3 linked regions of the Rattus norvegicus genome follow. The protein of the gene in region 3 purifies or fractionates together with the protein of the main gene of each other region. This does not show direct contact. Links are inferred from orthologs where the notes say so. Each region holds a gene or a part of one and is shown on either strand. Other genes may lie near its edges.

Region 1 (6,275 bases), on a different chromosome or scaffold from region 3:
AGTAACAGATTCTTAGAAACTTCCTTCCTACAGTGCAGAAGCACTGGCGTGAGCGTTCTACACGCATGTGTCACCAACCATCAGGCGAAGCCAGGGTTTTTGATGCCTCCTCCTTTCAGCTGACGAAATGGGGCCTCAGAAAAGTGCCATCACTGCTCGAGGCGAGGCTGTGTAGCTTGGCAGTAGATAGATCGGGGACGAGGTCCAGAGTCCATCCGACCCTAGAACCTGCCTCAGTGGGTGACATCTGTTCTGCTAAGGATAAGTGATATTTAATACGTATCTTCTCTCATGCCAACTGTCATAGGTGCTATGCCATCATCATAGTTCCATGATAAAGACACATGGGTATTATGTCTGGTGATCCCCCAAATCTGTCCAATGTAGATTGAATGACTCCAACTGGCTATATCTATAACACGGTGTCAGCTATCTGAAGGCAGGGGTGGTACTCACTCCAACTCCCCTCTCATCCTCACAGATGACCCTGCTCCATCTCAGCTCGGCCACTCTCATGCTTTCTTGACTGCACCTCCCCCACCTCCCCCACAGGTTCTCTTCACATGCAAATAGGGAACACAGTTCAAATCTATAACTGACACCTCCCTCTCCTCTGGCCTCTTCCTCCTCTCTAGCTCTAGGAGACCCAGAGTAGCAGATGCCATTCAGGAAGGACTCAAACTGCAGGCCCGAGACCCAGTCCAAGCACTCTTGGTGCTAATAAATGTCCAAGCTCCTCTTCCCTCTGCCCTGCTTCCCTTTTGAAGTGTGAGCATTCAGAAAGGAGATCCAGGAGTTGACATTTAATTATCACTTCACTTCTAGACGGGCCCAAGATGAGTACTCAAGGCCTAGGGTTCATGGACTAGAACAGATGCCAGGAAAAAAAAGGGGGTGACAGAGAGGGCAAAACTGAAGGCAGAGAAGAGGCATGGGGGAGCGGCAGTGGACACTTGGACACTCACCATGCTGGATGTCCTTCCAAAGGACCCAGTATTTGGAATTGTCTTCGAAAGTCACGAGGCAGCTTTGCTTAGGACTGCTGACCTGAGGCAAAGAGAGAAGAAATGTGGAGGAGCAGCAGGGGGGAGCAGCAGGAGGGAGCAGCAGGGGGGAGCTGGGTCTCAGTCTTCCTCTGTCTCTCTTGGCCTTGTGCTTCAGAAGACAGGCCAGAAGGAGAGCTGTGTTTCCCACCTCAGAGTATGGCCTTTAGGAACAAGGGGACGACTTAATGGGGATGCTTTTAAGGATCGAAGAGCAGGTCAGAGAGTCATCCATGCCCTGCCCAGTCTGGTGCTTGCTTAAGTTCTTTGAAGAACCTGCTGGGCCACATTGTGCCTGAGGACTTGGAGCCTGCAAAGCCAAGCTCTGGTCCCTTCCACTTTCAGCTTTAGGCATGAGGGGTAAAAGGAGATGAGCAGAAAAACACAGGAGCCTGGGCCCAAGGACCAGAGCAGACTTACCCGCTTGATCTTGCCAAGGTAGTATAGCCCGTCAGTCCACCGGCATAGCACAAACTGTCCCTCTGTCACCTTAGACATCAAGTCTTTGAAGTTCTTTTTGGTCTTAGACGGGGCCCCCTTGTTAGGGCTGGTGGCACCAAAGGCTTCCTGAGTCCCTGGTTCCAGAGCTTGCGTCTCCATCAGCTTCTGCTGACACCGGAGGAGAAAGAGCAATATTTATCTTGCTTCCTGCTCCTGAAATCCAGTAAGGCTCTCAAACACGTTTATTGACAGTACAACTCTGGGAGGGAGACATTATTATCTCATTCTACGGATAGGGAAACAGGAGATACAAGAAGAAGTGGCTGGTGACCCAGAGGCGCAGCCATGGCTCACAGGGAGTCAAGGAGGCTCTATACCATACCATGCTGCTAAGAGAGTGTATCTTCCCGCCATACCTGGCGCAAAGGACCCAGGGATCTGAACCCCACCTCATGTCCAGGAGGCTGAAGCTTTGTCCCATATGTGTGCTCAGTTCCAAGGAAGCAAGCACTTAAAATGTTATGTTTCCCCTAAAACATCTTCAGAGAAAAGCCCACCTAGCAATGAAAATTCTTGAGGTGGCATGGGAACCGCATAACATAGCCATGCGCCCCCCCCCCCTTTTGAAATTCCCCTTTCTGTTCTCGATTAACCGATAACTTCATGGGAACCAGTTTGGGGCATTTAAACCTGCCCATGCTTTTATCCACATACACATTGGCTCAAAGCAGCTAAGCCATTGCCATACCAGTCTAACACATCTGGCTCTCTACATCTCATTAAAGTGCTGCCTTTTGCTTCTCTGTTCCTGATAGAGGTATCACCGTGGTGGTGGTCACTTCTCCAACCAGTGCACTGCCACAGCGGGCTTTTTGGACAGTGGCCTGAGAAACTCCGAATCTCCACCCTAGAGTGGTTGGAGCATCCTGCCCTATTTCCCATCATGTCCTGCTTCCAACTCTTGTCTCATTTTTCCTCATCAGCTATTTCATTCACCTTTTCCAAGCCTATTTTCCTGAGCCTGTTGCTTGCTACTGCCTGGTACCTGGAACGGGGAGCCTCAGGGCACCCAGCTTCTCTATCTGAACCTTCCAGAAGGTTTGTGGCTTCCCAAACCTTCGCTGGTGGTCAGTTATTGCTTTCTCCCCTCCGTGGTCGTATTCCTCCACACATACTCTCCTAAGATCAAATACAGTTTCCTTATGTTGTAGTGTAAGGGGATGGTGGGGGGCGCTCCTGTTCAGGGTTCCTCCCTCTGCCTAAGGTGTTGGGCACCTGGTGCCCTGCCAGCCCACAAGAAGACAGCTCCGGGTGTGTTTTCATGTGAGTGCCTCTTCAGAGACTGTAGGATAGTCTATGGCAGTGTGCCAGTCCTATACGTAAAACTAAATACACGTGGGCATGTGAGGGGCCTGGGGCGGTGGGGCATAGTCAGGATCTAGGGTCTTCAAATGATGGGAATCAACCTCCTTCTGCCTTCTCCTTCCTATCTTTTACTCCAGGGCAGAGGAACAAGCACCAGGTAAGGGCTGTAGTCAGAACTTTTTTGCCATCTCCCTGGCACTTGGCTCTTTGGGAGCTGGGAGATCCCCGCATGCTGGGTCTGGAGTGTGGCCGGCCTCGGCAGGTTCACAAACTGACATTTCCTCCCCCACTGAGATTTTGGGGGCAGGCCGGGTCGCTGCGCCCCCGAGGCCGTGCTGGGCCCCCGGGTGGTGGCCCCCCCATCTCGCCTCCATCCTCCTGGAGAGGGCCCCCGCGGGCTGTGATTGGCTGATTCAAACCCATCGGCACAGAAGTGCTTGTTTGCGGGTTCCCGTCGGCGTCCAGTTCAAATCCGCGGCACTGGGCGCGCGGGGCCGGGCGGGGGCAGGAAGCGCGGATGATTCATGCGCCGAGGCCTCTCCAGGGCGGCCGTTGGCTTTTTAAAAGGGTGTTCAGGGGAGAGGATAGCTTGCAAAAAGTGTCCCCTTCAGCTACAGGCACTCCTTTCCTCAGTTGCTCTAACTGCAAACTTTCCCCGCTCCCAGCCTATCGTAGCCTGACTTTGGACGTGAGCAAAATCCCAAATGCCCTGCCTATCCTCCCCTCCATAGCTTCAAATGGAAAAGAAAAGACACGCGGCCACAAACGGAGACCTGTCACCCACATCCTGCCCAGCGCTGGGGATGTGGCTGGGACTCCCGCTGCCCTGAGGGTACCGCTCGGGCTCCATCTCCGTTCCCATCCTACAAGCGCGCAGCTCCTCAGAACTCCAGCCCCCGCCCGGGGATCGTAGGGCTCAATCTAGGTTTCTGGGAGAGGGATCGTGTGCAGGATTGAAGCGTGAAACGCGGACACTCCCGGGGCGCCCGCAGCGCGGGACTTACCGCGAGGCAGCGCGTCAGCCGGTCCCACTTGGAGTCTGGCCACCAAGCACATCGGTGGCGGTGGTGCGCTCGGCCCAGGACTGCCCGGCCGAGTGTCCGCCCCTGGGGCCGGGGTAGGGGTCTCGGCGGGGGCGGGGCGGGGCGGGGGCGCCGCGGGGAGGAGGGGACGCAGGGAGGGAGGGGCCGGTGCGCTCAGGAAGGGGCCCCCCGGGCGCGGGGCGCCATCTTTTTCGCGTTTTCCCGCGAATTATTGACGTCCCCGCTTATGTAATTAGCAGGGGCCGCACCGGCTTTGCCATTGGAGCCCGCGGCCGGCGGGGCCCCGCAGCGCCTCCCGGGGCCGCCCCCGCGCAGCGAGCAGAGCGGGCACACGCGGAAACACAGCTGCACAGACCCACGGCTGGGCAGGCGTACACACACCACACGCGCACAGCTACTACACCCAGACCTTTCAGGACCCGGGTAGGTCTCCCAACACCTTGATCTTACAGCACGGACACTCCACGTCACTCCCCGGAGACCAGGGCAAGCCTAAGAGAATCGGACACAGGACACGCACACATATGTGTGCCATAAGTCACAACACTCAAAATGACTCTGCCTTCAGCATAGACTCCCGCGAAACCGCGTGCACGGCACACACAAGTCAGCAGCATAGAGCTCCGACACAGTGACCACAAGACCCACTCGAGTATGCCAGTCACGCACTGTAGAGATAACAGTGTAAGAGAAATAGTCACGTAGACCGTGGGCACAAACACGACAAATACGTAAAGGGCAGACCTAAGACAGATCTTGTGGATATGGCTCCAGTCAGATAAGATCTCCCTCCCTCCAGGAGAAAAGACAGAGTGTCCTCAACCAGACTCACTCTTGGCGCCAGGGCTGGAGATAACACTGGTAACACCCACTACCCGCATCTCTGCTTTCGGTCTGGACTGCCCACTGCACCTGCTAGCAAGGCCCCCTGCAGGCACACCCTGCTGGAATGCTTGCATTCTTGGTGTGGTTGTGTACTGCTTTTCCTTCCCAGAGCCTTCCCTGTTCATTTTCCAGGGGCCACACTGGTCCTCTGCTTCCTGCGTGGTGGGCAGTCTGACCTGCAGCGCCTGCCTGCCTTCCACCTTCTTCCCCCCGCCCCCCAGCTTGAGATATAGGAATCCTCTTTCACATGTCCACATCCCCCCTTTCCCCTGGGTCTTCCTGCTTCTCTGGTCTTCCTGGGGATTTGACCCACAGCAGAATCTGGTTAATTTGAGCATCTGTCTCCCTTGGCTGAGCCTGGAAAGGAAGTTGGTAGCAGCCCCACCAGACAGGATCTTCCAGCCTAGGAAGGCATAGCTACACATTGCCTTCTGCAGAGATAACACCTCTGTCCAGGAAGCTCTGTCACGAGCCCGAGGCTGCCCAGAGGCACCTTTAGGATTCCAGAGGCAGAGACAACAGAGCAAGCCTGTCTCTGTAGCTCATGGGCTGGCGCCACCTATTCTTGGATGTGAGACTCTGCGTCACTTGTTGTCCAGCTGTTGGGATGGTTAGAGGCGCTGTATACTAAGTCCTTGTCACCCCATAGGTGGGCAGAAGGTAAATAGTGAACTTTGTCCCATCTGTATCCATCCACCGTTCTCTCGTGTAGGGCTACAACTGGCTTAGAGCACACAGGCAAGTAAGGGAATTGGGGCCTGCAGTCCGGTGAGGAAGCCAGTACGGGGGAAACACATTAATGTGAACAAAGACCTTTGGCATATAATTTGGGAACTGTTGCTCTGAGGCCAGTTCTGCTTCTGAGCAGAGGGACTGTGGGTAAGCTAGTCAGCCCCACCCCCCAAGGTTTATTTATATACCCCATTCTATCTGTTCCAAAGCAGTGGCAACACTACTCTGCCCCACGGGGCCATCGCCTAGATAAAGTTAACATAGGCCAAGAAGGAGCAGGTGCTTCAGTAAACTCCAAAGCGGTGTATGAAATGAGAAGCTGTTGACACACTAAAGACAGGAGACTGTAATGTCACAAGAAACGTGGTGTCGTTCACAGTGGTTTACAAGCTAAGTTCCAAGGAGGAATTGGCATTTGGACAGGATGCAGAAACAGAGAGGCATGGATTTCAGGGGGAGGGAATTGAATGGACTGCCCCTCCCCCCCAAAAAAATTCCAGGTTAAAACAATAAGAAGTGCTAGCCAGGAGTGGTAGCATAGGCCTTTAATCTACTTGGGAGGCAGAGCAAGGTGGATTTCTGAGTTTGAGGCCACCCTGGTCTATAGAGGGAATTCCAGAACAGCCAGAGAAACCATGTCTTGAAAAACCAATAGACTAATAAAAAAAATGATCAGAGCTTGATTAGGCAACATATATACTAAAATTTGAATGATGCAGAGAAACTTAGCATGGCCCTGTTCAAGGATGACTTGCAGATTCATGAG
Region 2 (6,012 bases), on a different chromosome or scaffold from region 3:
GCAATTATGTTCACCATTTAAATCATCTTTCTCCATACTAAAATATTAACAGCATACCCCATCTTCTAAACTTACACAGAGGGATGAGGCAGGAGGATTGTCTGAACTTCAAGGCCAGCCTAGCTACAGTGCAAGACAAAGGAAAAAGGAAAAAGAAAAAAGAAAAAAGGCTAACATGATTTTAAGGTTGATTTCTAGACTTCTGACCAGACATATGGACCTGGATGGCTATCAAGGTGTATATTGTCTTTTTTTTTTTTTTTCGGAGCTGGGGACGGAACCCAGGGCCTTGCGCTTCCTAGGCAAGCGCTCTACCACTGAGCTAAATCCCCAACCCCTATCAAGGTGTATATTTCATGAAGACTTAAGACTCCATACACTTAACTACAAAATACCAGAGTCAAGCATAAAACCCAGCACCCAGTGCCAGTATGACAGTTCCTGTTTACTTAGTCTTTTCTTTCTTACTCTGTCTGAGACAAGGTTTCCTTTGTAGGTCAGGCTGGCCTGGAGCTCAGAGATCCACCTCCTGCTTCCCAGTGTTGGAACTAAAGGGGCGTGGAGCCACTGCCATCATCAGGCAGAGGCTCAGAGCTCAGAGACCTAGGCCCCCAGAGATGTGTATTTCTCCAGGAGATGGATGGATGTGGTGCTCAAGGGAGGGGAAGTACAGTCGGGGCTTCCTTCCAGCATTTCCAGTCCTACCCAGCGGGGCCCCTTTCCAGAGGGCTTTGTAGTTGCTCGCTGTGGTTGGACGGCCCATTCTATTGATTGCTTGGAAGTTGTTGCTGACAGTAAGCCTCTACAATTTTAAACAAGTGTGTGTAATTCCTGACGGTGCAAGGACAGAACCAGGAGGCCAGTAAGTACTACATACACTTCAGCCAGGCTGAGGAGTGAGCACTGGGCTGCTGGCTCGGCAGCACTGGTGGAACACTACAGGCAGGAAGCTGGGAGTCCCTGGGGTAGCCCAGCAAGCACATGTGTACACACACACACACACACACACACACACACACACACACACACACACACACACGTAGTTTCTTCTGTGACTTTCGGCTACTGCAATCCTGTGCTCCTTTCCTCGGGGCTGGTTGGACTGCTCCTTCTTCCTATCCACTTAATGTGACAGGGGCCCGACTGTCACTTCTCTTCTACAATACACACAAGCAGTCCCACCTAAGCTCCGAGATGCACACAGCTGCCAGGCAGGAGAATGGCAAAGGGTGGGTTAGCACAATCACAAACAGTAATTCCAAGGTCAGTTTCTCCTTCACTAGAATTCTAGGGTGAGAGTTTTAAATAATGTTAAACATTTTTTTAAAAATGGAGACAGGGTTTCAATATGAAGACCAGGCCAGTCTTGACCTCACAGTGATCCACCTGCCGCTGCCTCTAGAGTACTAGATTAAAGAAAGGCACGGCCACCACAGTCAGCAGTTATTCTTAGCAAGTTTTACTCTTCAGTGCTTAGTCTACAGAGAAAAGATAGAGACACCTAGTGGTGACTGAAGGACAGAAACTTCTCATCTTCGCCTAGAGGTAGGCCAGGCGCCTGAGGCTGCAGGAGGAGCTGCTTAAGCACTGCTGTCTGCTGTCTGCTGTCTGTGACCGTGAACCTGAAGTCTGCACACAGGTGTGTACTGGGGTGTGCTCACATACAAAGACACCCCTGTTAGAAAGATCTTTGTTCACTGCCCTATATGTAAAGAAAGGACATGTCTTGCACCTAATTAAAAACCCATTACATCGTCTTTCACATTTCCAAGTTGCAGACATTTCTTTTCCAAGATCAGTTAGTTCACTGTATTGAGATTAGTTGCTGCCAAACCCAGCTTTAGCATATCGATGTTAAAGGACGGGGAGTCTACGTATGAATTTGCTTTGAGATGGGGTCTTGGCTAGTCTGGACCTGACAACTCTGCTGCCTCAGCCTCCCTCGAGCTAGGATCACAGGAATACATCTCGCATGCCCTGCTCAGAGGAATCATTCCCAGCCCTCTAAGATGACAATTCACTGCTAAGGCCCCTGCTCCTGGCCTTCCTGCTCCTACAGATGTTTACCAAGTGGCTCTTTGATGCCTCAGCCCCCCTCAGTGGTGTGTGCCCTGTGGTGTGGTAGATCTGTAAGTCTTACTGTAGGAGAGGGAAGTCTCCGGATGGCATTCACAAGTGAGCGGAGGGGTGAGTGCACAGAGCACAACTTAGAGTGAACACTGCGCTCCTGAAAGGCACAACAGTCATCCTTGACTGATGACCAGGATGAGGGCAGGGAAAGGTGGGGAGTGGGCAGTGGGTAGTGCTCCACTGTGGGAAGTTGTGGACAGAGGCTCACCTCATCCCAAGTAGTCTCTGGGGACACTAAGCTGACAGTGATGTGGACAATGGGTGGTTACAAAATGGGAGTGAGCACGTGAGGCCAGGGCAATGGGACATGTGCTGAAGAGCCATGGCCTAGGATAGATGAGATATGATCGGAAATGGATCTGAAGCCTGGCCTACTTGAAGATGAAAACAGGCAAGCCAGGAGTCTTTGGAGAGACCCTTTTAATTCAGTTTTAGTCCCGCCCAATGAGAGAAACAGAGGGAGCACAGTCAGGTCTAAAGGACCAGCAGGCAGCCAGGGTGGGGTTCTGTAACTAGAAACAGAATGATGGAGGCCAGAGCTGAAACTAACAAGCTTCCACCTACCAAGGAAAGGGAGATGACCTGCTCCACACAGACAATGTGCAAAGACAGCAAGGGCTCAGGAGGCCCCAGGCTGGAGGCCCTGGTGCCCCGTGAAGAACAAAGGACATTTGGTACAGTGAGGGCTGAGGAGGACAGGAGGATGGCCTGCAAGAGGGCAGTGCTCTGGTGGAGAGATGTCCTTTGGAACATGACTGCAGTAGAGAGAGGAAACCACAGCACAGAGGACTGGAAGAGTATGGGATGAGCAGAGCTGTCAAAGGCACGGGTGCCCTTTCAAGAAGGTTCAAGGAGAACAGAGAACTCGGCAGGATTCCCTGGCTGGCCAGGTCAAGGGCAGTCTTCTGCCCAGAGTAGGCAGGGGGTGGGGTGGGGTGAGAGTCAGGATGGTGAAGAGTAGAATAAGATGGAGAGATTGGAGGAAGGGGAGAGGGGAGAGGGGAGAGGGGAGAGGGGAGAGGGGAGAGGGGAGAGGGGAGAGGGGAGAGGGGAGAGGGGAGAGGGGAGACGGGAGAGGGGAGAGGGGAGAGGGGAGACGGGAGAGGGGAGAGGGGAGACGGGAGAGGGGAGAGGGGAGATTGTTTTCCTCACATACCCAGAGATTCCTTTCCCTAAAATATTTAGGAGAAATCAGAAGAAAAGAAATCAGCAAAGACAGAATTTTGCATTACAAAAGAGGGAACAGGAAATCTGAGCCCTCCAGCTTTTCACTTAAAACTAAGTATTCAAAGGGGAATCAGGGGATTGGGCTTGGAGGAGCAGGAGGTGAGACTCTCAGGCAGGAAGGCAGTTTGGAGGAGGGGCTGGGTGGGGCCAGACTAGGTAGGTGATTCTCGAGTGCTAATGAAAGCATTAGTAACCAAGAAAGGCAGAGGCTGGTGGGGTAACTAGGGAGTGGGGTGGGTGCCTAGATCCTGGGAGAGGCAGAGAGATTCATGGTCTGAATGAAGGCAGAGTGGGAAGAGGAGCCCAGCGTCAGGAGGTCTACAGCCCTTAGATTATCAACCGCTTTAGTTACCTGGTCTGATGGACAAACAACATCTTAAAGTAATTGGAGAATGAAGCGAGAACGGATTTGTGTGCCTTGAAGTACACATCGCCGATTGCAACCGTGCAGTCACACAGGAACCCAAACTCCCGCTGAGCGTTTAACTGCTGCAGTAGAATAAGTCCATGGTTGGTCAAATCCATTTTTTAAAAAAATCTGCAAAGTAAACAATTTCATTTTTAAGAAAGGTGTTCCACAAATAAGAATGTGTCCTAATGTTCCCAGCTAACATGTCACCAAGGCTAACATGTCAAGTCCGTTAAACATGGAACATACACCAATTCACTGTATTGCTCAACAGTCCCTGGAACAGGACCTATTTTCAGATGTGTCCTCTAGGGCAACTCAGGAGGTGTAACCTGCCCAGGCTGGAAATAAACCCAGGCAGTGTCCCTCCAAGAATCAGCCCTGTAAGGGTCCCCAAACACTAAAGATTCCTGAGAATCTGCCCAGTCTTTCACCAAGACTCCTCAACTACCGGCAGTCCACAAAGGCTTGCATAACCATTAGCAATGAAGCTGGGCCTCCCTTCTGCGGAGGAGGAAAGAGATTTTGAGACTTGTAGGTAAGTTGCCCCAGGCCTTCAGGGAAAGCAGAGGAGTTCACATTTAAATTTGAATGCGCCTACTTCAAATTCGGAGATTTACATTATTCCGTCCCCTACCAAGTCCAGGGGGCCATCTGTTTACTGTAAGAAGCTGCCTGAGCCTGCTAGGCTCCTGAATCCCTAGATGGCTCTCTTTCCACAAGCACACCTGGAAAGCACACTGCAGGGAGCAGCATGGCTTTCCCCAAGAGCCAGAGCAAGGCTACGAAGTGCAGGCCTCTCCAGCAGCGCCCAGAAAACAGCAGCGTCAGGTGGAAAACAAGACAGAAATAGAAGTCTGCAGGCAGAAAGAGAAGAAGCAAACTGATAATGTACAGAATCCAAAGAATTTATACAGAAGCCTTCATAAGTAATAAAGTCTGGTAAGGTATAAGAAGCATCAAGAAACAATTCCCAAACCCTAATGTAATTTCACCCACTAGCGCTGAACATGGAAACGAGAAACAACACCATCACAATGAAACAATAGGACACACAAGTAAACATACCAAGGCGTGCGGAGTTAGATGGAAAAATATAAAATGCTAAATCTCAAATCTACACAGACAAATTTGCATGAAAACATGTGGATAGGCAAACAAAGAAAGTACAATGTCTTCAGCTAAGAACCAACAGGTGGGGAGTCAGGCCTCTGCACGCACCCCAAGATGTGGTGGCAGCACAGAGCTCCAGGAAGAGATGGGCTGTACTTCAACAGAACCTGGGGAGGGGGCTGGCCCACAGAAGGATGCAGGAGGGATGTTTGACACAGACAGCATACATTACTCCCAGACGGTGCTGGACCAGCTGAACCTCAGAAGGCAAGACAGAAAGACCCTTGAGTAAGTCTCATGCTCTCATACAAACACACTAAAAATGATTCCTGGCCTTAAGCAGAAGGCACACACAACAAAAGGAGTTTAGAAAAAAAAAAAAAACCTTAGGGATCTGCAGAAGGGGAAGAGGTAAGTCAGACTTGGTGAAATTACAAGTGTGGGCTCTGGGAAGTGCTCTGCTAAGGATGGACAGGTAGCTAAGGACTAGGAGAACGCATCTGGAACTTCGCAACTCCTCAGAGTGCCAGTACTTGGAAAGTAAAGAAAAAAACCCTGAAATATACAAAACAAACTGGGAAGGATGATGGGTTTCAGAGGTCACCACAAGGGAAAGAAGTGGTAAGAGGCCAGACAGTGTTCAGTACCGTTGTCCCCAGGGAAACAATGTCACACGGTCACATCTCACATCACTTGACTCATGCTGCTGGGGGGGAAGGGGGGATGGTACAACTGGAGACTACAGACAGCTCAATGGCTACTCTGATACGTTTATTCCATGAAACAAAAATGTACTTTTACACAAAATTGTACACTGATGTCTGTAGTGACTTTACCAGAAACAACCCAGCTGTCCTTCAGTTGCTGGGTAGTTAGGCTGTGGAACGAACCACTTAGTCATTGGAAGAGACGGACCACAGCTAGCCGTGGTGGCCAACACACTAATCCCAGCATTCAGAAGGCTGAGGACTGGGAGTGTGAGGTCAGCCTGGGCTACATTGAGACTCTGTCTCCAGAACAAAACCAAAACAAAACAAATCAACCATTGCAAACAAAAGTTAGAAGAGTGAATGACGCTCACCGAAATACGGCAAAGAACAAACTCACTGATGCGTTCTTTAATAGACTAGGCA
Region 3 (5,475 bases):
ATGGTTTTGTAGGTTAGAGGACAACTTTTAGGAGTCAGTTCTTCCTTCTACCATGTGAGTTCTGGGGTTCAGTCTTGAGAAGTGAGGTTTAACATTTAGCTTAACCAAAGATAAATAAATTACATATTTAATTACTTTGAGACATGTTATTTTGTTCTGTAGCTCTTCTTGGCTTAAAACTTGCTATGCAGAATAAGCTGGCCTTTCTTAGAGAGGACTCTGCCTCCCAATGGGTGAGATTAAAGAAAGTCATGCACCACCATGTTCTACCTTGAAAATGTTAACTTGTATACAAAGAAAGTGAGATAAAATTGTGGGGGGTTCAGAGGTTTGGAGATTATAAGAAGAAATCACAAAGTACATATTGAATCTTGAGCACCATGGTCCTTTGTTGGGTTTTATTTTGAGGGTATAGAGTGACTTGTAGTTTATTACCATATACAGTCATGGAAATATTGGCTGATTTTTTTTTAACAAAACGCCTGTCTTTGAGTAACAAGACTATGTTTAATATATTTTCGAATAATTACTTGGACTTGTGTCTGAACAATTGATTTAGTCTTTTAATATTTATTTATAAGTACATTGTAGCTGTCTTCAGACACATCACAAGAGGGCATCTGATCCCATTACAGATGGTTGTATCCACCATGAGTTGCTGGGATTTGAACTCAGGACCTCTGGAAGAGCAGTCAGTGCTCTTAACCGCCGAACCATCTCTCCAGCGATTTTTTTTTTAAGTTTTTATAAACTGGAAAGTGAACACAACTGCATTCAAGGCATGCATTCTGCCACTGGATTATATTCCTGTTCCTTGTTAAGTAACAGTCAGTACAGAAGTCTACGGCGCAGAGAATAAGTTCCCTTCCATGCCAGTACTCCTAATTCCCTCTGCTCTAGTGAAAGCAGTTTTAAATTTTTGGCCCATCTTGAGAGAATATAGAAGTGCACTAGTTTTTTTTTGTCCTGAAGATTGAATCCAGAGCCTCATAATTGTGGTCAAGCACTCTACCACCAAGCATTATTACCAAACAAAAAAAACACTTTTTTTTTAAATAAAGATTTAGTTGGTGGGAGTGGCCTTGAACATGAATCTTCTACCTTAGCTTCTGAGTAACTACGATGCTGCACTATCAAACCTGGGTTCCTTATTTAAGTTTGTTTTGTTTGTTATTTTGAGACCAACTGACCTCTGCATTTCAGTTCATGGGATGTTTTTATGATAGCAAGTTGTTGCCAATTTGTGGTGGCAGATAACTTTAATCTCAGTATTGGGAGATAGACAGCAGGACCTGGTCTACATACAAAGTTCTAGGACAGCCAGGGTTACGTAGACCCTGTCTCTCAAAACAAACAAAAGAATATATTGGAGATTATCAGTATGCTGTCACACCCATTCTTTACGAAGATGCCACACACAGTCCTACTTATGAATACAATTTGTGTCACAGTTAACTTTGTTAATGGGTATTTAGGTGGTATTTGGACCTTTGCTGCTATAAACAGTGCTACTGGAAATAGTCTTATAATAGAGCCTATTTTTGTGATTGTTGGGTCAGTTTCTTTAACATTGCAGTTACACAGTAAAAGGACTTTGGTAATAGAGATTAAGTGGGGGTCTTTTTTTTTTCTTTATTAACTTGAGTATTTCTTATTTACATTTAGATTGTTATTCCCTTTCCCGGTTTCTGGGCCAACATCCCCCTAACCCTTCCCCCTCCCCTTCTACATGGGTGTTCTCCACCCATCCTCCCCCCATTACCACCCTCTCCCCAACAATCCCGTTCACTGGGGGTTCAGTCTTGGCAGGACCAAGGGCTTCCCCTTCCACTGGTACTCTTACTAGGCTAATAATGGGGGTCTTTAAAACTTGAGATAGGGTCTATTTCATTGTGTGGCTCTGGCTCACCTGAACCTCATTGTGTAGATCAGGTATGGGGTCTACTCCCAGAGATTGACTACCTGCCTCAACATCAGAGTACTGGAATTAAAGGTCTGGGGGTTGGGGATTTAGCTCAGTGGTAGAGCGCTTGCCTAGAAAGCGCAAGGCCCTGGGTTCGGTCCCCAGCTCCGAAAAAAAGAAAAAAAAAAAAGGTCTGTACCACCATGCCTAGCTTAGATTGTTATTTTTATCAGTGCCTTTTTTATCAGTGTGTCCAATACTGAGGAAAATATCATGAGTTCAGGAAAGTAGGTTGGGTTTTGGGTTTTTTTGTTTGTTTTTGTTTTGTTTTTTTTTTGTTTTGTTTTGTTTTTTGTTTTTTTTTTTTTTGTTTTTGTTTTTTGAGATATGGTTTTTCTGTGTAGCCTTAGATGTCTCAACTCTATAGACCAGGATGGCCTCAAACTTAGATCTCTACCTGCTTCTGCCTCCTAAGTGCTACTATTAAAGTTGTATGCCACCATGGTCTGAAGTAGGTTTGATTTAATGGTGGAGATAAAGGACTTTTTAGTAAAATGTAAAAATAATCTTTATGTGAGAAACAAGTCATGTGAAACCGGAATATTTGAATTTGAATTGAATTTTAGGATTCCCCCAGTTTAGCTGGTACAGTGCTTCTTAGAAAGGCCCTATAATAAACTGTCTACCTGCTTTTATTATACTTACTGGTCTTCATTTTCCTAGTCACTTTCTCTCCTATAATCTCTTTTGAGATATACTTAAGATCCCTTTCATTTTTAAGCCACTGTTGTTCCCTGTAAACATTTTGGTTTGTCCAAGTTCTAAAGTTCACTATTTATGGCCTTTTCCTCTCCAACACTAGAAATTAACCCAGGATTTCATGCATGAGAGTTGAATGCTATAGTACCAAGCTATATTCTCAATAATACTCTTACCTTTTTTTGAGTCAGGGTCTCTGCTTAGTTGTGCACACTGGCCTTGAACGTAGGGCGTGGTCCTGTCAGGCCTTAGTTTGTGATCTTTCTGCTTTAGCAGCCTGAATAGTTGAGATTATAGATGTAGGCCACCCAGCCAAAGCCTAAAATTTCCAAGTTAATTTTTCTGAGTAAATATAGATATGCCTGTCCCCCCAAGCCATATATTTTTGGCTTACTGTGTATGCATGAACTAATACCTACCTTTCAAACCTAGTATTGCTAGCCACTTCTATCTATCCCTTTCAGGAGTTGTGTGTGTTCTATTTTACCATAAGCCAAACCCTAACTGGATAGAACTTAATTTTGTAAATTATTACTAAATGACATGCATGTAAATAATCTCCAACTCTAAGGGGCTGGGGATTTAGCTCAGTGGTAGAGCGCTTACCTAGGAAGCGCAAGGCCCTGGGTTCGGTCCCCAGCTCCCGGGGGAAGAAAAATAATCTCCAACTCTTTTGGTTGCTATTTTAGAAAGTCACTGATTCCTTTGTAAAGTGAAATTTAGGAACAAACATATATGACCTAACTTGTCTGGTATTGGGACGTAGACTCCTACTTTTCTGTGGGACAGTGGGGCACAGTTGAAAATTGTTCTAATAAGACAATGGGAAAGCGTTGTTGATACTTAGCAGTGCAAAAATTGCTGTTTGGACCATGATGCCAAGGGGCACTGGCAAGTTTTTCAGCTTCAAGGTGAATTTCTGTTGAGCAAGGTAACGGAAACACTTAAAATTGAGAATGTTCACTGCATAGGTATCATAAACAAAAATAAGTGATTTTTATATCATGTCATTTCACTTAACCTCTTTTTTAGGTGAAGAAAATGAGACTGGAGAGGTTGCGCGTATAATTGCATATAGCTAGTTTTAGTTTGCACCAGGATATAAACCCCCATTTTTTCCCTCAACACTTCACTCATTCCATTTTACCTCATTGCCTCTTACTGGGAAAACAGAAACATCTATCTAACATATTAAAATGTTGGCTATATTAAAATGTCAGCTATGGGCTGAAGGTACAATTTAAGAAGTCTAGATATGAGTATAGATCAGTGATGGGTTTCTAGTTAGTGTGTTTGGTGAGTTGTCCTAGGAAAGGTAGCATTTACAATGATAATTGAGGGCAAGGAAGATGACTGACTCTTCAGGAAGGAAAGAAAAACATTTGAAAGTATGGGGATAATAAACCTGGTAATTAAATGGGAAGCAGGTTTATGGTTGGTGTTAAGTAAATATTTGCTAAAGAAATGTTCATGTTAATTTGGAGGGAACCAGACTGAATTTGTTAGCAGCTCAAAGTTCTTATAGGAGTCATTTGACTTTTTTTCTCTTACACAGACCAGAAGGAAAGGATTATGCCCTTCATTGGCTAGTGCTGGGTACCCATACATCTGATGAGCAGAATCATCTGGTGGTTGCTCGAGTTCATATTCCCAATGATGATGCACAGTTTGATGCTTCCCATTGTGACAGTGACAAGGGAGGTGGGTATACTGTGTATTTCAATATTAATGTCAAAGGGAGTATTCATCTTGGCATATATATTGTAGTTAGCTTTTGGCTTAGCAATGTGACTTTTAAAGAACTAGTAACACAACATGTGAGGTTTTCACAATAACGTTTACAGTACCAAGAAATTAGGATTAGTCTAGCGAAATGAAAGGTTCATAGGAAATTGTTTAAGCACAATATAGTGTGTTTATAATATTCTCAGCAATTAAGAATGAAAAGAAAAACTATATGCACCAGTACGGAAGGTGAGATTTTTGTTAATAATCAGATCTTAACTATAAAAAGGCTAATTTTTTAGTTTTTTTTTAATACACAAGGTAGAACAAACTATTAACTTAGCATGGTAAGCAATCCATTATATTGAAAATGGGCTTTGAGAATAAATTTCATATAGCAGGTAACCTGTATTTTGGAGAGTTTCTTTTTCTCTTCAATTTGTGTTCTACTCTGACAGGGTAAAATCGGTTGGGTTGATGCACTAAATGACTTGTGATTTTTAATCCTGAATGTTTTGTTTGTCTCCTTACATTAGAATTTGGTGGCTTTGGTTCTGTAACAGGAAAAATTGAATGTGAAATTAAAATTAATCATGAAGGAGAAGTAAATCGCGCTCGTTATATGCCACAGAACCCACACATCATTGCCACAAAAACACCATCTTCTGATGTTTTGGTTTTTGACTATACAAAACACCCTGCAAAACCAGGTATGTATTAATAAAGCCAGGCCATCACACATTTTTCTTGATTAGAGATAATATTTTAAAAATACTTTAAAGTACTGTACTGTTAAGACTGGAAAATCGGCTCAACAGCAGTTAGAAACTCTGTTGGCTTTTCTATAGGATGTGGGTTCAATTCCCAGCACCCACATGGCAGCTCATAGGCCTTTGTAACTCTAGTTCCAATTCTTTGGGCCTGTGGGCACCATGTATGTATGTGGTGCACAGATATTCATGCAGGTCAAACACTTGTATGTGTTTTTGTAGAAAATATGGAAGTCATTTACTCAAAATAAATTTGTAAAATCTAAAGTAGTCTGTATAACTTTTAAAACTTCACAAAGTGAGGGATTTCATAACCAC

What was found.
Region 1: the proteins of Rbbp7 (region 3) and Phf19 purify together in Homo sapiens (affinity purification with mass spectrometry; 3 studies listed by BioGRID and IntAct, with this or other methods). This does not show direct contact. The link is inferred for Rattus norvegicus from reciprocal best matches to the Homo sapiens genes RBBP7 and PHF19.
Region 2: the proteins of Rbbp7 (region 3) and Zbtb2 purify together in Homo sapiens (affinity purification with mass spectrometry; 3 studies listed by BioGRID and IntAct, counting the BioPlex papers as one, with this or other methods). This does not show direct contact. The link is inferred for Rattus norvegicus from reciprocal best matches to the Homo sapiens genes RBBP7 and ZBTB2.

The regions. Positions count from the first base shown.
Region 1 is NC_086021.1:38,589,957-38,596,231, forward strand, and holds the start of Phf19 (PHD finger protein 19), read right to left. Parts: upstream 3,899-6,275; 5' UTR 3,854-3,898; intron 1,653-3,853; exon of another isoform or gene 1,650-1,652; 5' UTR 1,644-1,649; coding exon 1,464-1,643; intron 1,048-1,463; coding exon 966-1,047; intron 1-965.
Region 2 is NC_086019.1:43,236,423-43,242,434, forward strand, and holds the start of Zbtb2 (zinc finger and BTB domain-containing protein 2), read right to left. Parts: upstream 3,899-6,012; 5' UTR 3,883-3,898; coding exon 3,710-3,882; intron 1-3,709. UniProt on the Homo sapiens protein: May be involved in transcriptional regulation.
Region 3 is NC_086039.1:35,552,174-35,557,648, reverse strand, and holds part of Rbbp7 (histone-binding protein RBBP7), read left to right. Parts: intron 1-4,217; coding exon 4,218-4,363; intron 4,364-4,923; coding exon 4,924-5,097; intron 5,098-5,475. UniProt on the Homo sapiens protein: Core histone-binding subunit that may target chromatin remodeling factors, histone acetyltransferases and histone deacetylases to their histone substrates in a manner that is regulated by nucleosomal DNA.